Yarrowia lipolytica: one gene and its partner. The protein of the gene in region 1 purifies or fractionates together with the protein of each later gene. This does not show direct contact. Links are inferred from orthologs where the notes say so. Each region holds a gene or a part of one and is shown on either strand. Other genes may lie near its edges. The genes, in order: YALI1_B16544g and YALI1_C04401g.

What was found.
Region 2: the proteins of YALI1_B16544g (region 1) and YALI1_C04401g purify together in Saccharomyces cerevisiae (affinity purification with mass spectrometry; 3 studies listed by BioGRID). This does not show direct contact. The link is inferred for Yarrowia lipolytica from reciprocal best matches to the Saccharomyces cerevisiae genes TEF4 and OLA1.

What each region holds. Positions count from the first base shown.
Region 1 is NC_090771.1:1,652,653-1,656,522, reverse strand, and holds YALI1_B16544g (elongation factor 1 gamma domain-containing protein), read left to right. Parts: upstream 1-1,598; coding exon 1,599-1,628; intron 1,629-1,754; coding exon 1,755-1,923; intron 1,924-2,090; coding exon 2,091-3,097; downstream 3,098-3,870. Other genes in the region: YALI1_B16566g (uncharacterized protein), read left to right, coding at 1-35. UniProt on the Saccharomyces cerevisiae protein: Subunit of the eukaryotic elongation factor 1 complex (eEF1). Probably plays a role in anchoring the complex to other cellular components.
Region 2 is NC_090772.1:437,905-441,854, forward strand, and holds YALI1_C04401g (uncharacterized protein), read left to right. Parts: upstream 1-2,210; coding exon 2,211-3,395; downstream 3,396-3,950. Other genes in the region: YALI1_C04389g (uncharacterized protein), read right to left, coding at 1-1,008. UniProt on the Saccharomyces cerevisiae protein: Hydrolyzes ATP, and can also hydrolyze GTP with lower efficiency. Has lower affinity for GTP.

The DNA of each region.
Region 1 (3,870 bases):
GGTTGGTTATAGCATGCGGCTGTTCGAGGGTGTAAAAACAGAGGCTGGGGTTTCAGATGTAGAAAAGCCGTAGGGATGCTCTCAAAGATGGCACCGAGCGTGTGGTTAGTTGGCAGTCAGAGATGAAAAATGCTGGGTGTGTGAGTTGTGACAGCTGCCTTCTGTGGTGAGTCTGGATACAGGTCTTGTACGATGGGACTGTAACCCGGCTTGGTTTCCGCTCCTTCTGATTTGGCTTTGAATGCAACTTAATATTGTAACATTATCAGGTGGACAGGAAGCGTTAGTTACAGCAGGATTGTAGGCACTTTTGTTGGGTGGGAGTGAGCAGTTCCAACGGTAGAGCGTATGTATAGTATCGTATAGAAGAGTAGACAACTGAAGCATCGAGAAGTGTTGATAGGGATGAGACATACGGGATGGAGACACACTCGGTAATGACGAAAAACAAACGAGACAGAGCCATTCACACACGACTAGCTCGAAATCAGTCCCCATGTGGAAATAAGCCTCATGACATGGTCCCAAACCAGGCTACTCGTGACTGTGTTTCCAGAGAAACCATACGACAGGACCATTGGTCCAGTCGTCAGCACATGTGGGAGCGTAGAGGAATCTTAGAGGGGAGCTTGGAGGGACAATTAGGATGCATCTCGTATATGGCGTAATCTGGTTAATATGCAAAAATGTTGATCTCAGTTCTTCCTCCCAGATCAACCTCCTCTTTTACAGTATAACCAAAAATAATAAAAGCCCGTTGAGCAGATGCGGATGTCCTTGTTATGTGATGATGGTAAGCACTTGCAGTATGTCGAATCCAGTATGTACGGTATCATACAAAGCATGGTCGGGTAACATAGTACAATAGTACATACTCGTACTCGTACTGTACTCGTACAGGTATGTGCTGTACCCGCTATCTAATGTATGCTGCGAACGGTCAGTGTTAATGGCGGGATCATCGCTGTAAGTACAGTACGCTTTGTGACAAATTGAACTGTATGACCGGAAAAAATTGGGCCAACTTTGAATCGAAAATATGCACAGAAAAATTGGGCCTGGATAACTGGACATTTCATGCTATGGGGTATGGTATAACCCACCCTACAATAAATTAGACCAATAGTGGCGAATAATTCAATTCGACCACGACCTCAACATTGAGCTACAATAGCTTTATTGGCCCTATTGAGCACGCTACAATTCGGTCCAGTATGTACAACGTCTATGCGCACTAACGGCCATACAGTGAGTTACAGCACACCCAAAAGTAACCCTGCCTGACCTGTCTGCCTGAGACAGGAAGATTAACTCTTGTAGTGACCGAGCTCGATAAGACTCAAGCCACACAATTTTTTTATAGCCTTGCTTCAAGAGTCGCCAAAATGACATTACACAACTCCACGGACCGTCGGTTCCATGTCCACACCCTTGGATGGGTAAGCGCTCCACGCACGTACCACGTGCATTGAGTTTAACCACAAACATAGGTCTGTGTCCCAGAGTTACCCTGCTGCATCAGCCAAGTCTTGAAAGCAAAATTTCTTGCACAATTTTTCCTCTTCTTTTCTTCACTGATCGCAGTCCAAACACAAACAATGTCTATCGCCAAGATCTACGACCTCCAGGTGAGTCAATTGTCTCCTTGATTGAGTATATTCCTTTGGTTTCTCCTCAGATCAAGCACACAAACCGCACAGATCACGGATCTTGTTTCTGTTGCATGCCGTCCTCATGCCACCTACTAACGACAGACCCCCCGATACACTTCTATCAAGGCCCTCATCAAGCACTTCAAGCTCGATGTTGAGGTTGTCCCCAAGGACGCCGAGTTCGAGAAGCTCTTCCCTCTCAAGAAGGTCCCTGCCCTCCTGACCGCCAACGGCACTCCCATCCACGAGTTCGTTGCCGTCTCCTACTGGCGTGAGTATTTCCCCCAAACAACAACCCCTCCCTTGCAAAATGATGAAACATTTTTTTTAAACAGTTATCCCTGTCTAAATAACTTTCGTGTTGAGAAATGGTACCTGACATTTACTCTCATTGCAACCCGCATTGATCCATACCATACAATTATACTAACCGCATAGTCCTCTCCCAGATCCCCAACCACCCTCTTTGCGGAAAGAACAAGGACGAGGAGGCTGAGGTTCTCCAGTGGGTCTCTTTTACCAACTCCGATATTGCGGATGCCACCTGGAACGTTTTCGGCCCTCTCAAGGGCTACCTTCCTTACAACAAGAAGGCTGTCGATGCTCTCTCTGACAAGCTCGACCAGACCGTCAAGGCTACCTTTGAGGCCCACCTCACCAAGAACACCTACCTTGTCGGCGAGTCTGTCACTTACGCTGATATCGCCGCTGTCGGCCTGATGTCTCTTGGATTTGCTAACCTCTTTGACGCCAAGTGGCGAGCTGCCTACCCCGCTACCACCCGATGGTTCACCACCGTCGCTGCCAACCCCATCTACTCTGGCACCGACTTTAACCTCTGTGAGGAGCGAGTCAAGTACGTCGCCCCCAAGAAGGAGGAGCCTAAGAAGGAGGCCAAGAAGGAGGCTGCCCCCAAGGCCCCTGCTCCCGCTGAGGAGGCTGCCCCTAAGAAGGCTGCCCATCCTCTTGCCGCCCTCGGCCCCGCCAAGGAGCCCATTGACAACTGGAAGCGAGTCTACTCCAACGAGGATACCCGAGAGAAGGCCATCCCCTGGTTCTGGGAGCACTACGACCCCGAGGACTACTCCCTCTGGAAGGTTAAGTACAAGTACGACGATGAGCTGACCCTCACCTTCATGTCCACCAACCTCATTGGTGGCTTTGTCAACCGACTGTCTGCCTCCACCAAGTACATGTTCGGTACCTCCGTCGTTTACGGAACCAACAACGACAATGGTATTATCGGTGCCTTCATGATCCGAGGCCAGGACCACGTTGCTGCCTTCGACGTTGCCCCCGATTGGGAGTCTTACGACTTCGTCAAGCTCGACCCCTCCAACCCCGAGGACAAGGAGTTTGTCGACAACATGTGGGCTTGGGATAAGCCTGTCGTCACTGCCTCTGGCGAGTCCAAGGAGATTGTCGACGGTGCTGTTCTTAAATAAGTGCAAACCAAGTAATTTATTGTGTAGTCTAGGATTGACATTTGATTACCGTGTACATTAAATGAATGATTGTAAATTGAAAGAGGAAGTGTAGCAATGGTTGAATGGGGAGTAATGGGTTACTGTAATTGCATGTCCCACCTTCTTTGCACCGTTCTTGTTGTATACAGTACAATACATACATACCCTATGTATGTTTTTTGTGAATATGATGAGTCTACTACTACAGTAAATCAGCTTTGATCCCTGCCAGAATGTGTGTACACAGTATGGGACTCTCATCCCCTGTACAATATATATAATTGCTTATTAGTTTAATGCATAATGCCATGATGAAACATATTACCTTGACAACTTGTTGATCCATGATTTCCAAGAAGTGTCCAAGTAAAATGATCTCGTTAATCCAGTAAGTATATATACAACCAATATTCTAACAACAGTTAAGATACCCTGTCATGCAATCCGAACAAATAAAGTTCGTCGTCATTACCAGCAAGTCCCATTAACCCCAATTACCCTACCCAATCCTGCACCCGTGCTCAGCACTACGCATAGCATATAAAAAATCTGCTTAGGCTCTCCTTTCCTTCACACACAACAGCAAACAGTGAGTACCACACCCTACACGCTTACAATGATGATCCAAATTGCATTTTTTCTGGCATCTCTAATGTTAGCGTCCTCCGGGACCCGATGAATATAATTTTTACTCTGAAACTTCAGTTTGAAATTCGTTCGTTCTTTTGAATCAACACTAACTCAAGATCCTT
Region 2 (3,950 bases), on another chromosome or scaffold:
TTGACCCTGGTTCATCTGGCCCTGGTTCATACCCTGGCCTTGCATCTGGTTCTGGCCCTGCATCTGGCCCATGGGTCGCAATCCCTGGTTCTGGGGAACCTGTGCTTGGGCTTGGTTAGGAGTCTGTTGACCCTGGCCCTGAGCTCCAGTCACGCTCACGTCACCATGGGCTCGTGCGGCAGCGGCGTGCTGTTGTCCGAGCACAATTTCAATGGCTCTCAGACCCTCCTTCTTCAGCCGGATTTGGTCCAGTTGCTGCTGGAGCTGCTGACGACGATCATCGGTAGTGTTGGGGTCGCCAATGACCTGCTGCATCTGCTCCATGGATTGTTGCCATTCGTGCTGTGTTCGGCGTGACGACTCGAGGTTCTTGACCCGGAACGTCTGCTGCTGCTCGTACGTCATTTCGTTGAAGTTAGGAGGCTGTCGACGCAGCAAGAATGTCTGTGCCTGAAGCAGCTGCTGGTTCATCCGTGGGTTATTTGTGGGGTTGGAGGGGTTAGGAGTGGCATTAGCGGGGTTGGGTGTGTTTCCAGGGTTGGGCGTGCCTGTAGCCTGGGGATTGGGGGTCATTCTACCTTGGCCCTGAGCTTGGTTCTGGCCCTGGTTCTGGCCCTGGTTCATACCCATACCCATTCCTTGCGGAGGGACCTGGCCCTGCGGAGGAACCTGGCCCTGTTGACCTTGCTGCTGTCCCTGTTGTCCTTGCTGCTGACCACCTTGTCCCTGTTGTCCTTGACCCTGACGAGCCATCTGTTGTCTCATTCGACCTTCAACCTGAGTAATCAACTCGCGCAGCCGCTGCGCGTGTACAAAATGCTGCTGGCCACCACTCTGCCGGGACAGCTCAAGAGCCTGATGGTAGTTTTGGTAGAGAGCTCGGAGTTGCTGCTGGGGGTTCAACCGAGGCCGATTCTGGGCGTTGCCCTGGCCCTGGCCCTGGCCCTGGGCACCTTGACCCTGGGCGTTGCCGGCGTTCGGATTCTGTTGGCCCTGCCCTTGATTCATGGTGTCGATGTTGAATCACTATCACTATGGCGTGTCGTGTGGATGGTGTATTTCTAATGGTGGTGATGCGAAAAATAGAGTTCCATGCTGGGACAAGTCATGTGATCTGAGGGAGAAAGGGAGTCCAGTCGAAGTAGTTTGAGGGCAGAGTCAGTAAAAAAAATTGACGTTTCCAAGTTAGAAATCATGGATAACCGGGAGTATAAGTTTGGTTTGTCGAATTTGCCTCTGAATCACTGATAATAGTTCTATGAATTTCCCAAGTACACTTGTTCATGGTACCAAGTAACCTTCAATGTTACAGTATATAATATAAAAACAAATTTAATTTGATTTACTTTAAAAAAACTTAACATATCTAAGTATCACAACCGCCAGTTCGATTCTAAATTGCGCTTTAAACAGGACGGCAAAAGAGACACTTGTTAGGCTCACCAAGGATGACCAAATTGATACTAACTAAAAGCCTAAGTAATATGGCTTCTCTGAGAATGCAGAAGAGATGTTATAACAGGATAATCCGATAGACAATGATATAAACATTGCTGTCCTACAGTATACTGAAGGAATTTATTTCAATGTGGCTTATTTATAAATATATATATATATATCAAAAGTTTTCAAAAAGCCCGACTATGACCCCCAGGTGACTTGTCCGCTTAACTACTCCCAACTAACTTCGTATCTACTGGCGCTACAGCAACACTCTTTGCAGCCTTGCAACATGCAATGACCCATTTCGATCCAATAAATACTTATTGGATATCAATGCTTACCAAACACCACAAACATTCTGCTCACATTGCTCACTCTGCTCAATACTGGACGTGCCATTTCTCTTAGGAAGTCAGCTCAATCTGACATGCTCGCGTCGTTCGGGGTTTGGGCATCCATCTCCCATTCTCCCAACCCTAACCCCCAAACCACTCTTTCTTTGAAATTCCAAGCTCAACCTTGATTTGACACGTATGGTTAATGAGCCCAAAATAGAGACAACCCGGGATATATACGAGTTATAGGAGAGTGTAGCATACTCCAAAACAAGCCTCTACTTAAGCCCTGGCCCTATACAACTTGGCCTGTCACCAACTCTCTGCTCTCTCTCCGGCTTCAAAGTTAGGGTTAGGGATGACAACCAACCAAGTCATCTACTGTATTCAGCAGTGAAAAATTTCATCACCAGGTTAACACCACACACTACAATGCCCCCCAAGAAGAACGTCAAGGAAGAGAAGATTCTGCTCGGTCGACCCGGCAACAACCTCAAGTCCGGAATCGTCGGTCTGGCCAACGTTGGAAAATCGACCTTTTTCCAGGCCATCACTCGATGTCCTCTTGGTAACCCCGCCAACTACCCTTTTGCTACCATTGAGCCTGAGGAGGCTCGAGTGACCGTCCCCTCTGCTCGATTTGACAAGCTCTGTGAGATGTACAAGCCCGCTTCCAAGGTCCCTGCTCATATCACCGTTTACGACATTGCTGGTCTGACCAAGGGTGCTCATGCTGGAGAGGGTCTTGGTAACGCTTTCCTGTCCAACATCCGAGCTGTTGATGCCATTTTCCAGGTTGTTCGATGCTTCGACGATGCCGAGATTATCCATATCGAGGGTGACGTTGATCCCGTGCGAGATCTCCAGATCATCAAGGACGAGCTTCGACTCAAGGACATTGAGTTTGCCAAGAAGCACCTTGAGGGAGTCGAGAAGATTGTCAAGCGAGGAGGACAGTCCATGGAGGTCAAGCAGAAGAAGGAGGAGGCTGCCACCTGCGAGAAGATCATCAAGCTGCTGGAGGACGGCCACCGAATTGCCAACCAGAACTGGACTGGCAAGGAGGTGCTGGTCATCAACGAGATGCTGCTGCTGACCGCCAAGCCCGCCATCTACCTCATCAACCTGTCTGAGAAGGATTACGTTCGAAAGAAGAACAAGTACCTGCTGAAGATCAAACAGTGGATCGACGAGAACTCTCCCGGAGACGTCATCATCCCCTTCTCCGTCTGCCTGGAGGAGAAGCTGTCCCACATGGAGACCGAGGAGGAGGCCGAGGCCTACCTCAAGGAGATTGGTGCCACCACTTCTCTGCCCAAGATCATTACCACAATGCGACAGACTCTCGGTCTGATCTCTTTCTTCACCTCCGGTGCCGATGAGGTTCGAGAATGGACCATTCGAAACGGTACCAAGGCTCCTCAGGCCGCCGGTGTCATCCATAACGATCTCATGAACACTTTTATTCTGGCCCAGGTGACCAAGTACGAGGACCTGGTCGAGTACGGCGACGATGCCTCCGTCAAGGCTGCCGGAAAGCTGCAACAAAAGGGTAAGGATTACGTGGTTGAGGATGGAGATGTCATTTACTTCCGAGCCGGTGCTGGAAAGAACTAGACGAACCAATTGAGCGTAACGGAAGTTGGTGAGTCGAGTAACAGCTAACTAAAAGCTGTTATAAAGTATAATGACAGGCTCATTGCCATGTCCCTGTCTGGTCAACAGATGATGGTTGACAACCTGGTCATAGATAGAAATGTATGGTGAGGTTATAACACTGTAGACAGCGTTTACGTAAAGTAGATGTATGGAAAGAGCCCTAACTGACCGCCCAGAGGATTATCTGGAGTGAACTGTGCGCAGAGAACAAACAAGAGAGCCTAAGACCCCAAAATGGACTCGATACTCACTTGGGTATCCTTGCAGAGAAACCACAGCATCATACCAGAAGGTCGTGTAGCTATTTTAACTAGCGTCTGAGGACATTCATCTTACAGTCTCGCTTCGGATATCCAATCATCCATCCATCTTGACATTTCGAGATGCATGCCATATCTCTAACTCTCATGAGAAGTGCGCCTATCTCATACAAGCATCCATAAGTTGGTTCTACTACTTGTAGTACAGTCTAATGTCGTACTCTCTCCATCTGAGCACTTCATTCTGGATAGA